Linked DNA regions of Nothobranchius furzeri. The protein of the gene in region 3 purifies or fractionates together with the protein of the main gene of each other region. This does not show direct contact. Links are inferred from orthologs where the notes say so. Each region holds a gene or a part of one and is shown on either strand. Other genes may lie near its edges.

What was found.
Region 1: the proteins of mettl9 (region 3) and slc30a1a purify together in Homo sapiens (co-immunoprecipitation; 3 studies listed by BioGRID and IntAct, with this or other methods). This does not show direct contact. The link is inferred for Nothobranchius furzeri from reciprocal best matches to the Homo sapiens genes METTL9 and SLC30A1.
Region 2: the proteins of mettl9 (region 3) and slc39a10 purify together in Homo sapiens (co-immunoprecipitation; 3 studies listed by BioGRID and IntAct, with this or other methods). This does not show direct contact. The link is inferred for Nothobranchius furzeri from reciprocal best matches to the Homo sapiens genes METTL9 and SLC39A10.
Region 4: the proteins of mettl9 (region 3) and slc30a5 purify together in Homo sapiens (co-immunoprecipitation; 3 studies listed by BioGRID and IntAct, with this or other methods). This does not show direct contact. The link is inferred for Nothobranchius furzeri from reciprocal best matches to the Homo sapiens genes METTL9 and SLC30A5.

What each region holds. Positions count from the first base shown.
Region 1 is NC_091742.1:7,796,279-7,801,352, forward strand, and holds the start of slc30a1a (zinc transporter 1a), read right to left. Parts: upstream 3,071-5,074; 5' UTR 2,374-3,070; coding exon 1,809-2,373; intron 928-1,808; coding exon 77-927; 3' UTR 1-76. Other genes in the region: serine/threonine-protein kinase Nek2, read right to left, coding at 3,663-3,865, 4,146-4,222, 4,334-4,388, 4,958-5,074. UniProt on the Homo sapiens protein: Zinc ion:proton antiporter that could function at the plasma membrane mediating zinc efflux from cells against its electrochemical gradient protecting them from intracellular zinc accumulation and toxicity.
Region 2 is NC_091754.1:1,907,304-1,911,864, reverse strand, and holds part of slc39a10 (zinc transporter ZIP10), read right to left. Parts: intron 4,531-4,561; 5' UTR 4,509-4,530; coding exon 3,534-4,508; intron 3,084-3,533; coding exon 2,906-3,083; intron 1-2,905. UniProt on the Homo sapiens protein: Zinc-influx transporter. When associated with SLC39A6, the heterodimer formed by SLC39A10 and SLC39A6 mediates cellular zinc uptake to trigger cells to undergo epithelial-to-mesenchymal transition (EMT).
Region 3 is NC_091756.1:2,165,776-2,170,336, reverse strand, and holds part of mettl9 (protein-L-histidine N-pros-methyltransferase), read right to left. Parts: intron 3,598-4,561; coding exon 3,413-3,597; intron 1-3,412. UniProt on the Homo sapiens protein: Protein-histidine N-methyltransferase that specifically catalyzes 1-methylhistidine (pros-methylhistidine) methylation of target proteins.
Region 4 is NC_091746.1:73,802,559-73,805,941, reverse strand, and holds the end of slc30a5 (proton-coupled zinc antiporter SLC30A5), read right to left. Parts: intron 1,367-3,383; coding exon 1,196-1,366; 3' UTR 1,094-1,195; downstream 1-1,093. Other genes in the region: MAM domain-containing protein 2, read left to right, coding at 454-538, 611-657. UniProt on the Homo sapiens protein: Together with SLC30A6 forms a functional proton-coupled zinc ion antiporter mediating zinc entry into the lumen of organelles along the secretory pathway.

The DNA.
Region 1 (5,074 bases), on a different chromosome or scaffold from region 3:
ATTTCTAATCAGGTCCGACAATTCCAGCTTCCTTTAAATGACAGCGATGTCTTCCCGTTTCCTCTTCCACCCGTTTTCACAGAGACGACTCCACCTCTCTGGTGACGGCGACCTCGGCCTCAGTCCGAGGGCAAACCTGAACCTCAGCAGCCTGCTCTGGGGTCTCGCTGATCACCTCCAAGCCCGAGGCGAGAGCAGCTTTGCTGTCACTGCCGGCCTTCTGTTTGTCCGTGGAGCCGCAGCACAGTTTGGGAGCGCACTGAGTCCTACAGGAGAGCTCGCACAAGGAGTCCCGAGACTCCGAGCTGAACGTGACGAACTCCGGCTGGATGGTGGTGGCGTGGATGCCCTCGTCGTGGAAGAAGTCCTTGATGCGCTTGGCCACCTCCATGTAAGCTGTGGGGTCGTGGCATTTGATGTGTGCCGTGGCAATGATCCTGCTCCCGGCCAGCTGCCAGATGTGCAGATCGTGGATGGCCAGGACGCCGTCCAGGCCCAGCAGCCGCTCATTCAGGTGGTGTATGTTGATCTGCTTGGGGACAGTCTGCAGCAGGATGAGGGCTGACTCTTTCAGCAGCGGGTAGGTTGTGTAGAGCAGGATGCACACCATGATGATGCACAGCGTGGGATCCATGTAGAGAACCCAGCAGGGCCCAGCGGTTACTGTGGAATTGCCATATTGGTTGGCTATGGCGTGTTTGTCGGTACAAAGGTCCACGCAGTTTTCTCTGCCCTTACAGCTATTCCACACAAAAGTGAAAATGACAGAGTTGACCACCACAATGACAGAGCCCAGGGCGTCCCCCAGCACGTGGAGGAAGACCCCGCGCATGTTGAGCTGCGACGACGAGTCGTGGTCAAGGTCCAGCTCGTCGAAGTGGGTGTTGCCATTCATCTGCAGCTCTGGGCTGTCCGTACAGCTCACATCTGAAGATAAACATCAGAAAAGTGAGTTCAGATCACCACAGACTTTGACACCAAGATACTGAAACATAGGAAGTGTCAAAAGGAACATGTGAAACAAACAAATCAAACTTTAAAGATCTTCACCAAGATCTTGGGACTGCACACAAGAGAGAACATGCTGTGAATGAATGAGTGAACTCCTGGAGTGCGGTATCCTAAATAGAACATAACACTACACTCACAGTAAGCAAATTCAATTAGCGACTGCGGGCAGAGAGGCAGAGCTGGGGGAGCAGCACCTGAGGAACGGCCACGGCTCTTTTCCATCCAGGGGCGCCATCGGGTCATTCATCAACCGCTAATGGTGTGTCTGGGTCTGTCGACTCCACGGTTACACTGATGTATGACCCAGTAGCAGCAATCAGTGCATAGAGAAGGGGATATAGTGGCCATTTATTGAAGCTGTCAGAGCCTAACTGTGTGTGTGTGTGTGTGGGGGGGGTCTTCTGTATATGGGTTTAACCCTTTATTGATGGGAGGGCACTGTAGGACCAGCAGCTTATTGGGTGATTTTTCTGTGTGACCTTAAGAAATTTAAGCAACAAAAAAGAGCTACAAGAACATTTCAGATCTGACTTTAAAACACCAGATGTTTCTAAAAACAGCTGGGAGAAGGAACACTCGTCACAGGAGTTTAGTTTCTAAGGATTTACTGACCCAACAAATAAATGTTACCAAACATCCGTGACCAAAACAACACAGCTGTCTAAGAATAATGGGCTTAAGCAGACCTCATGGTGGATTGATGACTAACTGCTGTAGTTTTGAGTCATCTGGGGTGTTTAATTTATTAGAAGGAGATCTGTGAGAAGTCTGATTATAACCATTCTGTCCACACTTACCGGTTCTGGGTCTCCCATCACCAGGGCTGCTGTGGTTCCCCACTAAATTGTTGGACTCCTCTCCAGCTGACCCGTTGCCAGTCTTCTGCGCTTTTCCTCTCTTGCCTTTGCCTCCGTGAGAGTGACCCCCGTGGGAGTGACCGTGGCCTCCGCCGGCGTGTCCGTGGAACAAACACAAACCGAGTAGGTTGACTAGAAGCCCCGCGGCTCCGACCCCGGCGACCACCACCGGCCTCTCGATCTCATGCGGCTCGGTGAAACGCTCGATCACCTCCAGGACAATGGTGAAGCACAGCGCCGTGAGGAAGACGGCGTTGACCAGAGCCCCCATCACCTCCGCCCGGATCCAGCCGAAGGTGTTCTTATTGGTCGAGTGGGTTTTCTCGGCGAACCGCACGGCGACCAGAGCCACGACCAGGGCGATGACGTCCGATAGCATGTGAAAAGAGTCCGACAGCATGGACAGAGAAGAGGTGATACGACTCACCACCACTTCTACGATGAAGAAGCCGAAAGTCAGAGACAGCATACACAGCAAACGGGCACGATTGGGCTCGCAGGCCATCTTGATTTCTTTAGTTTTTCGTCGATTCAAGTTTAGAATCAGATAACGCTTCACCGGGTCTTCCCTGACATCTGTGAGCCACCTCCCTGAGACAATGCAGTCGATGCTAACAGCTTCCGATGCTGATATCTGGCAGCAGCTATATCAAAGACCAACGACGAGGAAAACTATTAGAGGAAGTAACTAAATTCTAGTAACCGTGTGAATAGATCACAAACGTCACCAGCACATTTCAGACACGTCTGTCGACGAGCTCCAGTTTGCAGACGGCTGAAACTTTGCACCCGAGCCGGTAAACTTTCCACACGGAACAAGACGCGCTAGGAACCGCCCACGATACCTCTGATTGGACGAGGAGCTCCTAAGAAGGCATATGATTGGTCGAATGTTATTACGTTTGTAACTAAGTAGGAGGTGCTAAGGAACCAGACAACGCTGGTTGCTACGCTACGCACGCTAACGGTAAATCTCGCGATATTTTATGACGCTATGTGTGTGATCGATGATTTTGCCAACATTTATTCCGCTTCATCAATGAAGATAATTCAGTCAAAGAAGGCAAACATCAACAGATTTTTTGAAGTCTTTGATTTGTTTCTAGCACAATTGAGTCGTTTTCTCAAACCATGCTTGTGAATCAGGCCTAGAGCTGTGTCTATAATTGCTAAATAAATAATCTAATTTATTAATCGGCTTCAGTGTTTAGTTATTCTAATGATGTTCACCAAACAAAGCAATGACTTCCAGGTGTGGTGATCTCTGCTTTGTTGCCCGTTATCAAATGTATCACAGGAAACGTGATGACCCCTTGTGGGGTGTTTAAGAAAGGTACAATAAAATCAATACTTAAAAAAAATGTGTGTGTGTGTATATATATATATATATATATATATATATGTATATGGAATGAAATCATAATTTTCAGTGTTTAAAGGAAGCTAACATTTATAGTCACGGAACAGGTTTCTTTATTAGCAGAGGTTCTGGAAATATTCCTAGAATAAGCTGCCTTTTCATGCCAATTATCAACAAAATTGATAAACTACCTCAAATCAAAGCAAAAACATACAAATTACATTCTAAAATCACTTTAGCTGCCTGTAAGATTAACACACACATCACACTGTGCAGCTGAATAAAACTGACACTACAAAACTAGAATAAAATACAAGACATATTTTGACTAACAGATTTGCTATAGTCACAATTGCACTTTTATCTTATAAATTACTAGATGTACATGAAATTGTAAAGATTCAGCCCTTCACATTCATATGCAACAGTTTTGTTTAACGGATGCCAAGGATCTGTCTACTCTTAAACTGACAGATCTTCTCCACTTCATTCAGTTTTTTGGCACGAAGCTTGGCTGCCTGCAGTCTCCTCAGCACTAGCTCCTGTGACGTTGCGCTCCGATCATCAAGCTGCTGATTCTCTTTGCTTTCACCGGCAAAGTGGACCTTCTTCTTACCCGGAGACAGATTCTCCAAATCTACACTCAAAAAAAATGCAAAGTCAAATCACTAATAAGCAAACATCAGGATAAGCTTTATTCAATCAGGAACTTAAACTTCTGCATTGACAACAGACTTCAGATTGCACATTGTGTGGTTTGAGTCTTTAAAATGCAAGTTTAATTTAATTAAGACAACACAGTTGTATAAAAACTTTATTTACATGACATAAACCTGATTAATTTCAGTGATTAAAGTTCATTAACATAAAAACATCTCAGTTCAGTTTGTCCAAATGTCTCCGTCGGTTTCTCATACCTATGTCTCTGCCATAGATCAGTGCCAGGTCCTTCTGGTGCTGCAGGTCGCCGTAATTCTTCAGCAAACTGTCTGCTCTAAAAAGCACAGATAGAGGGAGAACAAGAATCAGCTGAAAAGACCAACAAAGAAAGACGGCGTTGAATGTACAAAATAGGTCAAATGTGGGTTTTTTGTAGAGAATTTACCGTGCTAGCTTTTCATTTGCCAGTTTCTCACGGACACACAGCTCCTGCTCCCTTTCTGGAGTTAAGGAAAAGAAGGAAACAAAAAAAAAACAACAACAACGTTGTTTCCATGAACACTCTGCAACATGTTAACACCACAGTTAAGCCAGGGGCTGAAGTAGGTCAGCGTTTGACTGTAATATTTGTTTTTTGTTAAAGATAATAAACCAGTTCCATCCACACAAATTGGTTTGACTACAACGCATCAGTCTTTAACCAGCACCTTTAGTTACAGATACGCTTATTTCATTTATTTATTGCTGTGAACATCACCTACAGGGTTCAAATCAGTGCCACCTACTGAAACAAATGCTTGTTTGTTTTTCAAAAATGGGGAAACTTTGCTTTATTCCCCAAACAGATTCTCCCTTTTTAGTTCTTTCTAAAATCAGCATTAGGAACTTTAACGTTTTATTTGCAGGTGGAGGAACAAACTTCTTCTAGATAATGAATTCCACAACAATCAAAAGAAGGCTACATATGTTGCTAATCATTTGCATTTTTACAAAGTGACCCAACTTCTTAGAAACAGGGTTAAATATTACCGTTCTGTTACACATGATGTTTGTGTAGCACAAGTCTTACTCTCAAGTCTCTCCTCATGCTCCCTCAGGGCGAGTTCCCTGTCCCGCACTGCCTGTTCCCTCAGTCGGAGCTCTGCAGCTGGGATAGACACTTCAGCTGGCTTATGGGGGGCGCGGT
Region 2 (4,561 bases), on a different chromosome or scaffold from region 3:
CGCCCCCTATTGTTGAATCAAGCTGAAAATCAAGATCCACTTGAATTGACCTTAGGTATGGTGATTATGAATAGCTTTGAAAAATGTCCAAATCTTTTGAAGTTATGCTAAAAAACAGTTTCATTCCCCAAAAATTATTTTAAAAAATCATATAAAAACAAATAAGCAAATTATCCAAAATCCCTTCACATCGTTTGGTCAGCCGCTCCTCCTCTCTTGTCAGGGAAAGTAGTGATGTGATTGTGTTGTACGGCCGGGAGGAGTTAACGAAAGTACGTTTGACTTACTATGCAAATTTCTACTAATTAGCATAAGTTTAGATAATTTTTTTAAATACTCATCTAAATTTGACTGAATCAATAAACATACTGGATGAGACCATGTACAACAGCGCCATCTATTGGAAAAAATTCTAATTTTTTCTGTGATTGTAGATGTCACTATGACTGATTTGATTTGTAACTTTCTGTACAGAATATATATTTTTCATGAGTAAATGGGCGAAAACTTTTAAAGCCTATTTATAGCCTATAAGCCACGCCCACTTTTAAATCATTTTCGAAATATAGCGTAAGGGTCCAATGATAAACATATCTGCCAAGTTTTGTGGAAATCCATCAAGCCGTTTTGCTGAAACAAACTTTTTGAATCTTTAGCGCCCCCTATTGGTGAATCCAAACAAAATTGCGTAGATAGGGTTTACCGCTCATACTTTGTAAGGTTCTAGAGTCTCATCATTTTATCTTGAAAATTGTTGAAGATATAATCAATTAGGACATGTGCTAGCTAGCGCACTGAATTTGACATGGTGTCATTAACCCAATTTTCAATAATTCCGCGTTTTTCTTCATCACAACCACTTCTCATCCTCCATATATCATATGTTCAAAGGTTGAAGTTGAGTCGACGAAAAATGACGAATAGGTGATTAAAACTAAGTTTTGCGTTTTTTGAGATCTAGCAAAAAATCTAGTTAGGCAGAAATGGGCGTGGCCAATACAAAAAAGATGCAGAATCATCCAAGGATCATGTCCATATAAAGTTTTTTGACTGTAGGGCCTATGGTTTGGGAGCTAGTAGCTCAAACGTATTCACCTCCGCAATAGCGCCACCTAGGTGACTCGTGGTCCAAATTTTCGAACTTGAGTAGCGGTCAGGATTGTCTATCAGACTGCCATATCAGATTTTTCCTGGCAATTTCAGGCTCTTGTCCCCATACAGTATTAGCGGAGAAGAAGAATAATGAAAAATCCGTAGAAAAACAATAGGGTTCCAATGCCCTTTGGGCTTGGAACCCTAATAAAGTTTTAAGTATCAGGCGTGACATTAAAAGCAGACGCTTTGATGCTCCACCTGAGAATAAATCTGTAAGGCTTGTCACCAGCATTCAGACATCAATTCAGTTTGCTTCGCAGCCAGACAGGACACAGAAGAATAAATAAATAAATAAATAAATCCAGTGGGGTGAATTCTGGAAAAGTCGGCAACCTGGCAAACACAGCAGCAGGGACAACATAAGCTAGCGTTTGTAAACTAGCTTACACTAAACTTTGGTAAACACCGCTATAAGCCCCAGCTAGGTTTGCTACATCTCCCAACAAGTGAACTGGGCTTGAACTAGCAGAAGAAAGTCCAAACTGGCCAATTTGCTGACTGTTCGACACTCCCGTAACGCCCACCATGGTGGACCCACATGATCAGTATCTGGTGGTGTAATATCGGGTACGACACACAGGGTGGGTGCATCCCTACTTTCACTCGTTTTTGAATGTGATCTTAACACTATCTGAAAAACGCACATACCTAACCAGAGTTTCCCAAACTTATGGATGCAGGAAAACCCTGAGGACAATGATATATTAACTGCCACAGCAACTAAAAGTGTAAACTGTGAGGAAAAGATACAAATGCTTACAGCCTTCCACATAATCCATTAAAAACCGCTGGATGTGATGAGAAGCCCTGATTATCCTCGGTTCTCCCTTATTCGATGTTTTACTAGTGGATCAAAGCCTGGCTGGATCAACCACAATACCCATCCCTCTCTACTACATTACATTTCCTGTCTATCGACTCCTGCTGACGACCATTAGCTATGCACATTCAATCAGACTCGAAAATGAAACCAACAAGTAGAACTTTCTATATCCAGAACCAACAAGGAACCCTGCTGTAACAACCCATTACAGCAGCTGGCATAAAAAAGCATTTTGAATGAATTCGTAATGCGTTTCTGACACAATCACCATCTTCTGTTCATAAATGAATTAAACACAACCTGAAGGGTCATCAACATTTACAAAATCTAAAGACTTCCATAAAAGCGCAGCTATGAACGTGCTGCAGGGCATTTTTAAAACGCGTTTTCCTGGAATAAGCAAAGGACATACAAACAAGACCCTAAAGATGGAACCGCGTGGATCAGAGTTGAAAGTAAACAGGAAATGCACGTGTTGTTATCGACCTAAAACCCAAGAAACTATCTTCAAACTAAAATCTCTTCAGGTCTGCAGCCTTAGATGAGATTTTCTTTTATCTTTTATGCCAATCAATGCCTGAGGTGTGTTGCCGGTGAAGATGTTGTCCGTGGCCTATTGACTGACACCACACAACAACGATCTATTGATCAAACAAACAGGCTGGACTGTGATGAAAGACTAATGGGTTAAAAGGCACTGCTTCTTCTTATCTTCTGTCAAAGTGCTGGTTTGAAGCAGAGAACTGGTCAGATCAGAAACGCTGATGCTTTGTGTAAGCCCCAAGTACACACTAAGGATAAATGCCTGCTTTTCCATTCATCCCCGTCATTATATTTCAGGAAATGCCATGAAAGACCCCTATTTGTTATATTTGCCAAAGTTCCTATAACAGTCTCAGGTGACGAGTGCATAACAAAGGGTCCTACCAGAGCTGACGGACTCCAGGGCCTCCTGCTCCACCTCCATCTGGTGGTAATGGCGGATACAGACACGGCTGTCTATCTGGTACAGTAGGGCCGGGCACAGGTAGGTGAACTGGCTGGGGGAGATGAGGGCTTCAGGGTGCAGGCCGTAGTAGGAGAGGAGCTGGGTGAGGTTCAAGCACTGCATTAAAACAATAAACAAGGAAAAACTATCAGCCATGATGAAAATGTACTGAAACACGTACTAGAGGCTTTCCACTGGAAATGAGAAGCAAAAGTCACGCCTGCTTGGAACATACTGAAACCAACCACAAGACCGAGCTGAAAGGCTTAAATGGAGATTATGAATATTATTTTCTATTGATCATTAATAATAAACATAAGTTTCATAAAGCGCCTTCAACAACAACTCAAAGACACGTTTTAAAGATGTCACCAAAAGCATCAGAACAAGAGAATTCTCATTTGATCCTCCAGAGTGTTTTAATGAAAGCGGATAAAAAAGCTCAGACTCTTATCCCGTCAGAAAAGGCTTCAGATGGATCTAGAAAACTGCTTCATCTGTAGAGAAACATAACAGAATATAAATCCACAGGAACGTGATCTTTGTCTTGACAGGCTGAGCGCCTACCTCCTCATGCTGGTGAGACAGTCCACCTGCATGTCTGGAGTTCACAGGGAGAGGCGTGACCAGAGCCCCCGGAGCCTCTCTCTTCTCTTTATGAGCGTGGCCATGTTTGTGATGAGGGTCATGACTGTGGTCATGGTCATCAGGTGGAGGTGTGTCAGGGGTTGGGGACTTGTTTGGCCCTTGCTGACCTCTGACCTTTGGCTGCTTTCTGGGCCTTTTAGGTCGACTCCCCGTCGGGACTGGAGACGACGGTTGCAGGCGGGTGGAGGACGCATCTTTGCCTGTATTAATGTGATGAAGGTCATGCTCGTGGTGACCATGAGAGTGAGAGGACACGTCCCTGTGGTGGACCTCTTCATCAGAAGGTTGATGGTTACTATCCTCAGCCTCGCTGTGATGGTGAGTATGATTGTGGCCATGATTTACGGGTTCACCAGAAGCTGGACTTGAGGCCGTGGTGTGGCTGCAGCGTGTTGGGATTTGCTCCGTGTGGGAGTGAGTTTGGGAATGTGGTTTGTGATGGGAATGATCATGGCGCTGGTGATGACGGTGGCCTTCACTGGGAGATGAGTGTGAGTGCAGCCCCTCTTGCAGATCCAGCAGGTCGAGGTGGGCTACGTGGTCGTGGCCCAGCTCCTCGTGATCTGCATCAACCACCTTGACTTCTCCCAGACCCAAGCTAAACAGCAGACTCTGAAATCCCTGGAAATCTAAGCGGTCCCTCTGACCGTAGCGCCTGAACAACTGCTGGATGTAGAAGCGCTGCTCCTCCTCTAAGGTGGCGGGGCTTTTGGAGTTTGGAGACGCGGTGGCAGCTCTTACGTAGGGAGCGTTGGAAATCTGCAGATCGCTGTGCTCATCGTGGTGATGTCCATCACTGTCATGGCTGTGCCCTCCATGGCAGTGGTTGCACTGATGCAAGATGAAGGTGAGCACGCACAAGAGGCAAAACTTGGTATGCACGTGCACTCGCATTGTCTCCTCACGTATGGTCCCCCTGCAAAAACAGAAAAGGAATCCTCTGATCA
Region 3 (4,561 bases):
TCTAGTTTTTCTTATGCAGCTCGAACGACAGCGTGCACCCCTAAAACTATACATTAAAACAACCCGCTCAGCCGTGGGAGGCGTGGCCTATGATTACGGGTCGATTACCCAAGCTGGACCTGTTTAGACTAAAGAAAATCACTTTTTTCACTTTCTTCCTCACCGCATTGAAAATGAATCCAAATTCAATTCAATTCATAGATACTTTATTAATCCCAGAGGGAAATTAGAGTTTCAGTGCACACAATTCTGAGGTCAGACACACATAGGCATAGACACATGACAAGAATTGGTGACTGTGGTCATTCGCCACCCGAGTCGCGCTGCGCTAATAGAGATCAGAGGGTTTATATATGAGGATTGGTTCAGGTGGAGGAAAAAAGGCCCTTCAGAGTTACCTCTCCATATTGACTGAATGCTACATGTGTCTTTGTGTGAAGTCCGACCTTGTTTACTTTATGATTTCACACGGTTGCTATGACTACAAAGAATCATGTCATCAGCTTTAATATAATGGACATTCCGTCTAACAGGTCAGAATTAATTGACCAAATAAGGGCTCTTCTGCTGCTGCAGCAAGCAGTAAACCAGTGCAGGCCCAAACGTATTGTGAGGGTTTGCTGGGAACTTCTGGCAGTCTCCTGTCAGAAGGAGCTTCAATTCCCACCTCCGACAGAACTTCCAAAATGTTCCAGGGGAGGCAGGGGACATTGAGTCGGAGGGACCGGTGGCGCCTGTGCTCGGCAGCCTCACCTCTGTCAGTGCGCCCCAGGGCAGCTGTGGCTACATTGTAGCTCATCCCCACACGTGTACGAATGCGTGTGTGAATGGGTGAATGACCGATTTTGTTGTAAGCGCCTTGGGGGATGTAGAACCCCAAGATGGCGCTATACAAATACAGGCCAGTTACCATTTAATACAAACAGAAGCGATCCAGGCTGTTAGCACCTGCCAGAAAAAGCATACATGCTAATTATTCAGAAGAAAACCTGCTAGAATAATGTTTATACCGTGTAAATAGTTATTTTTACTCCTCCTGCCTCTTATTTATACAATGTTTTTATTTGTTTGTTGATTTGGGGTTCAAATATGTTATTTTCCCCGTGTTTTTAGAGTAGATGTTTGTATTTTGTACACAAACAAATTGTTTGGACTTTATCTTCACTACAAACTTTTGTTTTGCACAAAAATGTTTATTGTGTGCAACTGTTTAATTCTTGTGCCTTTACTGTTTGCACTGAACATTTGTTGTGATTTTTGCTGTAATTAAATAAAATAACTTTTAGTTATTTGTTATCATATCTTATAATTATACAAATAGGTACCAAAAAAGTAGTGTTAAAACTGTTGCGTCGATATGTTGTTTGTCAATTTGATTGGCTTAGATTTTGCCCTAAGAAATAAAAAGTCATGGGATCATTGAACATTTGTGTTATTTATTTTTGTTTTTGTTTGTTTGTTTTAAAGTACCGATTTAAATACCGTTTAGGAACCGGTACCATTTTAAAAGTACAGTGATCCCTCGCTACTTCGCGGTTCGTTTATCGCGGATTCACGACTTCGCGGAATTTTTTTGGAGCCTTATTCAAGGGAAATTCGCCGATTCGCTGTATTTTTCACAGATTCACAGTATTTTTCTATGCGAAATATAAAGAAATTCCTGTTTTTTTTTCATCAATTTCATCATAAAATGCACTTTTTGTAATGAAACTAAAAAAACAAGTAAAACATTTTTCTAGACTTTTACCCACAAAAAGAGAATGTGATCATACGATAATTCAGTATAGTACTGTATGTCAGACTGGTCGGCTGGATTCGGGAGTTGAGCTTGTAGGGAGCGCGTGGTTTCACAGACGCGGAAGTGAGAGCGTCGATGAAACGCCGGCTCACGCTTAATCTAGGAAACCCCCGAGTGTTCAAGCGTCAACGAAGTGACACGGAAATGCCGGGCTTTCCAGAAGTAAGTAAGATAACTTACTATGAGCTGATAGTTCGTTGGATTGATCGGTAGGTTGGAAACTCCGATCATGAATCTGAAGAAACGATGACTGAGTGGTGAGCTGGAAAGGTGACTTCCGTTTATAGCCGCGGTTTGTGACGTAGGTGCGACGTGGAGGGAATCCCCGCGAGGGGCATGCTGGGAGTCCCTACTTCGCGATTAGTCGACTTCACTGCTCTGTAGTGACTTTTTATGCCTGTCATCGACTAGTCGCTGTCACGTGATAATGAGCGACAAGATGCAGTCCACGGAAAAGACAGCAGCCTGCTGTCAGCAGGTGACAAGCTCCTGCGCGTCGGGAGGCAACGCGCTGTTCCAGAGCGTCGGTACTGACACCCGCCGTAAAACGGACATTTAACCAAATTGTGACCTTTACCCTCTTGCAATTTAACCTTCCCCTCACCCCCATCCTAACCTTAACCAGCGTGTGCATGCAAAGCTCTGATCGTTGACGCGCTCCAGACATCTGCGTCCTGAGCACGGCCACAGTAACATTATCAAATCAGGTGTCGCCACCTCAAAAACTAATTTAACATGCGATCGTTCATGTCGGCTCATTTCCTTTTATGTTTTCTGTCTTTTATTCTCTTATTTGTGCCTGATGTGTTTCGCTGCTGTGGATCGGGGCGCATCACCTGTTTAGTCCTCCAATAACTTCACCTCACTGATGTGGCCGGCGAGCAGCGAGCACTCCGCTGTTTTAGCGGTCGGTAGATCTTTTAGAACTGCAGTTCAAATATAACTCATGAGGTGAATATATATGAACCCAGGTTGCAGTTTCTCTTTAGGATTGAGAGGAGATGCAGGAAGATAATAAACAGATACAGGACAGAAAAATAGTCAAATAAAAACAAGTTAGTTTTTGTACCTGCTGGTTGCAACAAACAGACACCATTGAAGGTAATCAGAAGTGAGGAACAGAAAATGAAATAATTATTTTAATGTTTAGAGCAGCAGGAACTCCGAGAGGTTGCAGGTGCACTGCGCAGGGGGAGGGGGGAGAGGGCTGAAGCAGAAACTACCGCTGTTAAAAGAAATGTGTTTAACTTTGAAAATGTGGGCGCAATTTTAATCGTCAAAAACTCCAGCGAACCCCCCCCCCCCCCCCCCCCCCCCCCCGGCTTCAGGTGTATGACGTCATCAACGACTAGTCAAAGTCGACTCAATTTTCATTACTTGACAGTTGACTTCAGTTGTGCAGCCCCTACCAGAGAGGTGACATTTCATGTACCAAACCTAAACTAATCTAAACTAAAAGTTCATTCACACCATACCTCTAAAACCAAGTTTTAGGGTGCTTAGCATTGTGTGGACCAGCAAAATTTCCCCACAATGAGGAAATGTCCACATGTTACAGGTTAAAGTTAAAATTTGTCCACTTAAACATATAAAGACAAGTACACACACACTGACCAATCTCTATGTATGGCTGGAAGGGAAGGACTGCTGCCAGGACCAGTCTTCCAGTCCCAGGTACTAAGGAGCTCCGGATGTCCTGCAGCAGATGCAGAGGGTCATCACAGCGGTCCAGCAGGTTCAGACAGCTGATCACATCATACTGAAATCCAGTATTTTGCCACTCTTCTATTCCCAGCAATCTGTGCAGACAGGAAACAGAGAACATTACTGAAGCAACCACTGACCTAACATGGCTGATGCAGGTCGCCTCTTGTTGGTTCGCATACAGAGTGCAGACTCATTTCAGTTCTGATCATCCAGAAGGCTCAACAAACATAGATGCTCAGTGATGTGAATGTGCAATAGGGCTGAAACAGCTTATAAAAAGTGATCTGTTACAGCAACAGCTCACTGCACAAGAGAAAACCGTATAATGGACTGGGTGGGACAACACAAGGATCATAAACACCGAACAACAGAAATACAAAAGACGGATAAAGGAAGCTATCGAGATAAGGAAGTGACGCTACCATCAGCGTCAGCTCTGAAGATGTTTGCAGCTGCAAACGAAAAGTCAGCAAGGTAAAGAAAAACCTTATTTGTGTTAAAAAAAGAACCAAAAATGGAATTTGAAGACAAACACAGCAAGAACGTACAAAAGAGGATTTATCTGTGTTCATTGAAAGCTTATTCCCATGGAACCATAGTTTGATTTTTTCCAACGCTGTTTGTATCACTTCTATCATTTGATCAATATTGTCTCCTGAATAATAAAAAGTTGTGTAATCAGCAAATAAGATACACCTTAACATATTAGATGCAGAGACAATATCATTTATATAAATAATAGTTTAAGGCCTAGTACTGACCCTTGTGGTACTCCACAAGTAATATTATACACCACCACCTTTTTTATTTTCCCGATTCTGGTAATACATCTCACATCTATTTGATAATCCTCAACATCTCCTTCTTGTAACCATGTTTCTGTAACTGCAATGACCTTAAATCTCATTTTATTTAGTGTTAAAAACACCAATATTTTATTATAATTGCAATGCAAACTTATACTATTCTCTCATTTCTTTTTTATCTTTTATTTCATTTAAAAACATAGTAACTTTAAAAAATAATCAAAAGAATGAATACATCTTACAATGCTTA
Region 4 (3,383 bases), on a different chromosome or scaffold from region 3:
CTGGTTTAGGAGCCTTTTTAAAATCTGAATGGCTCAAAATAAAAGAACAAAAGGATCAATAAGGGTTCTAAAATCTATAAAGCAGCCAAAGTTGGGAGGGAACCCTTCAGAGGATCGGACGTCTACGTAGGAACGCTGCTCGTGTGGCACAGGAGTTAAGTTCTCGCCCCGTAATCGGAAGGTTGCAGGTTCGAGCCCCGCTCAGTCTGTCGCTGTGTCCTTGGGCAAGACACTTAACCCACGTTGTCTGCTGGTGGTGGTTGGAGGGACCGGTGGCGCCTGTGTCAGTGGGCCCCAGGGCAGCTGTGGCTACATCGTAGCTCATCACCATCAGTGTGTGAATGTGTGTGTGAATGGGTGAATGACTGATTGTGTTGTAAAGCGCCTTGGGGGGGTTCCAGGACTCTAGAAGGCGCTTTATCAAACACCGGCCATTTACCATTTGTGTCACAGATTGTATTTGAAGCCATCCGAGGCTCCTCGGTGAGGAGTGACATCGCCATTGATGACATCATCTTGGAGGGAGGACCTTGCCCAGGTAAACGGACGATTCACCGGTTTCCGGTGAGAACAGGTCAGCAGCTTCCTGATGTTTTTGTTTCCTCTGCAGAGACGGAGATCGGAGCCACCGTCGGAAGCTCCAATGAGATCGAGTAGAAGGAAGCGAGTTGCCGCAGTAGGATGCATGCCCCCCGCCCCCACCTCCTCCCCAGTTTTGCACATTCCAGACGACCCGAAGCGTTGCAGACTCCTGCGTGTCGTCTGAACATGTGGAAGGAACCTTTGTGTGTTTTCACGGGGCGACACATATCAGCAGTACCAGAACCAGCGTCTCTCTGCACCGTAGCAACAGAGGATGCTCCACGGTGTCTTCCTTCACATTTATATGCATTAGATTAATGCTCGCTGCTTTAATAAAGCCAGAATGTTCCCACACACCATTTCTCCTGGTTTTTACGGAGATGGCAGATGTATGCCGACTCAGGTTTATGGTTCAAGGTTGACACCTTTATGGGACTCAAATATTTAGGGTTTAAAAACCCAGAAGCCTCTAGAGATGTGAGCAGTAAATCAAACATCATCAAACAGGAACTAAAAGCAGCATAATCAGATTTATTCCAACATACTCTGTACAGTTCACTGGGGAATTTTGGTCCTCCTTTGTTGCCGTACGTGTGTCATGGGGTTTGGTTTATTACATGATACACGTCCCGTCGTTCAGGTGCTTCATCGACTCCATTTGTTGGGTCATCGCCAGAACATCGTGGAATCCGGTGCTGAGTCCCGACATGTGCTGGAAGTACGCCTCCTTCTCCACCTGGACCGACAGGTTATTCACCCCCACGTCTTTCAAAATGGCCGTCACCTACAGAGGAGGAGGTTTTAGCATCAGTGTTTGGGCTTGGGACCAGAATGAGAGGCTAGACCCGGATCTGACTGGACCGTGAGACTCGTGAGGAACAGCCAGATGGTCTGGTTCTCACAGTCAGAAGCAACATTGTGTGACCCAAACATCTCCGACACAGTCCCAAAAGTATCGCTCATGCATTGTGATGAAAAACTCAAGAGTGATCGATTATAATCAGAAATAATCGTAAAAAATGTTTATTCCAGGGTATCTGCAGGTTTAAGGAAGCAAAATTTAAGACTTTTTAAGACCTTTTTTAAGGCCACTTTGACCAAATTTAAGCTATAATTTCCAGCTATTGCCTGGAACCGGCGCTAACCACGTAGCGAACGTGGGATTAGCCATCCAGTTACCATTAAACTTGCACTTCCCCATGGCGCAAGCTCCCACTAGCTTAACCAGCTAACGTGCTCATCTAAAAATAGTCCCCTTTCACAACCAACTGAATGTGTACGGTTCCGCTTACGGCAACATCGTGCACAACAAACGCTGAACACTCACTAGAAATTCACGAAATTTTTATAGAAATAAAAGAATCTTGTTTATTGGTCTTTGGTCATTTAAGACCTCAGGAAACTGTATTTAAGGATTTTCAAGACCTTAAATTTGGAAAAGCAAATTTAAGACTTTTTAAGGACCTGCGGATACCCTGTACTCATTCAACCGCACCTTTAACGTTAAATAGTTGTGAACATAATCTGAACACGAATGTGTTTAAAAAGTGCTGATCTACGTTAACAGCCTCTTGAAGTGAAAAGTCGACCACACTAGAAACGCAGAACAAAACCACCGTGAGGACCACCAACGGCCCCCGAGCTGCACTTTGGACACGTCTGCTGTAAGTAAACAAGCTGCTCCAGAGCAGGCAGGAAGAGCAAATCTGAGAACAACAGAATAATGGGCTCGACACACGGGAGGCGACAAACGACCGCGATCAGCGAAATTAGTCGCTTTTATTACCCGACACACGGGAGGCGACCAGCGGCCAGCGGCAAAGCCGTCGACGCGTCCTGTTCCATGGCGAAATCGGATCTTCCGTTGTTCTGCTTGGCTGTGTCAGGTTGGAGGGAATTAAGGTTATTTAAGCGGTTCAGAGTTAATAAAGTGGTAAATATGATGTTTCACGGCGATGAAAAGTTGAAAATATTTAAACTTTCTGGGATCACGTCGCTGCGTCGCCTGTGCACGACACGCGCACGAGCGTAAAATTTCACACGCACGTTTTTCGCGTTTCGCTTGGTAGGAGGGAGACCCGCTATTATCGCTTTGTCGTGCATGTCTCATTGAAAATGAACGGAGGAGAGGGGATGTGGCCTCCCGTGTGTCGAGCCCATAACAAGCTAGCCTCGTCCCATCAGTTGTCTCACACACACACAGGTGTGTGTGTGCAAAATTTGTTCTCTGCATCTGACCCATCCCCGGGTGAGCAGTGAGCTGCAGGCGCGGCCGCGCTCGGGAACCATTTGGTGGTTTAGCCCCCCCAATCCAACCCCTTAATGCTGTGTCAAGCAGGGAGGAACTGGGTCCCATTTTTTTCTAAGTATGACCTGACCAGGAATCAAACTCTGACCTCCCAGTCTCAGGGGGGACACTCTACCGCTAGGCCACTGAGCTGGTATGATTAGTCGATTTGTCACGACGACATCGACAAACTAGTCGTGCATTCTATGAGCATTTTTTAAATCTCGTGTGTTGCGGCACCTTCGGGGGCTGTTTTCTGCTCGAGACACATGCCTTTGACATCAGGGCCAGTCGGCAACGTAGCTCAAAGGTTTGGGAGCATTTTCCAAAGACAAAAGAGAAGCACGCAGTGCAACATCAGTAAGGTGAAACTCTCCTTTCAGAAGAGCACATCGGCGACGCACGAGCGCCTTAAAGGGAAACACGTCACAGCGGAGAACGAAGAGTCGCCTCTGTAAGCTAATACCTCTTGTTGCTGCTAACATCAACAGTTGCTTGTATTCACAGGTGTAGC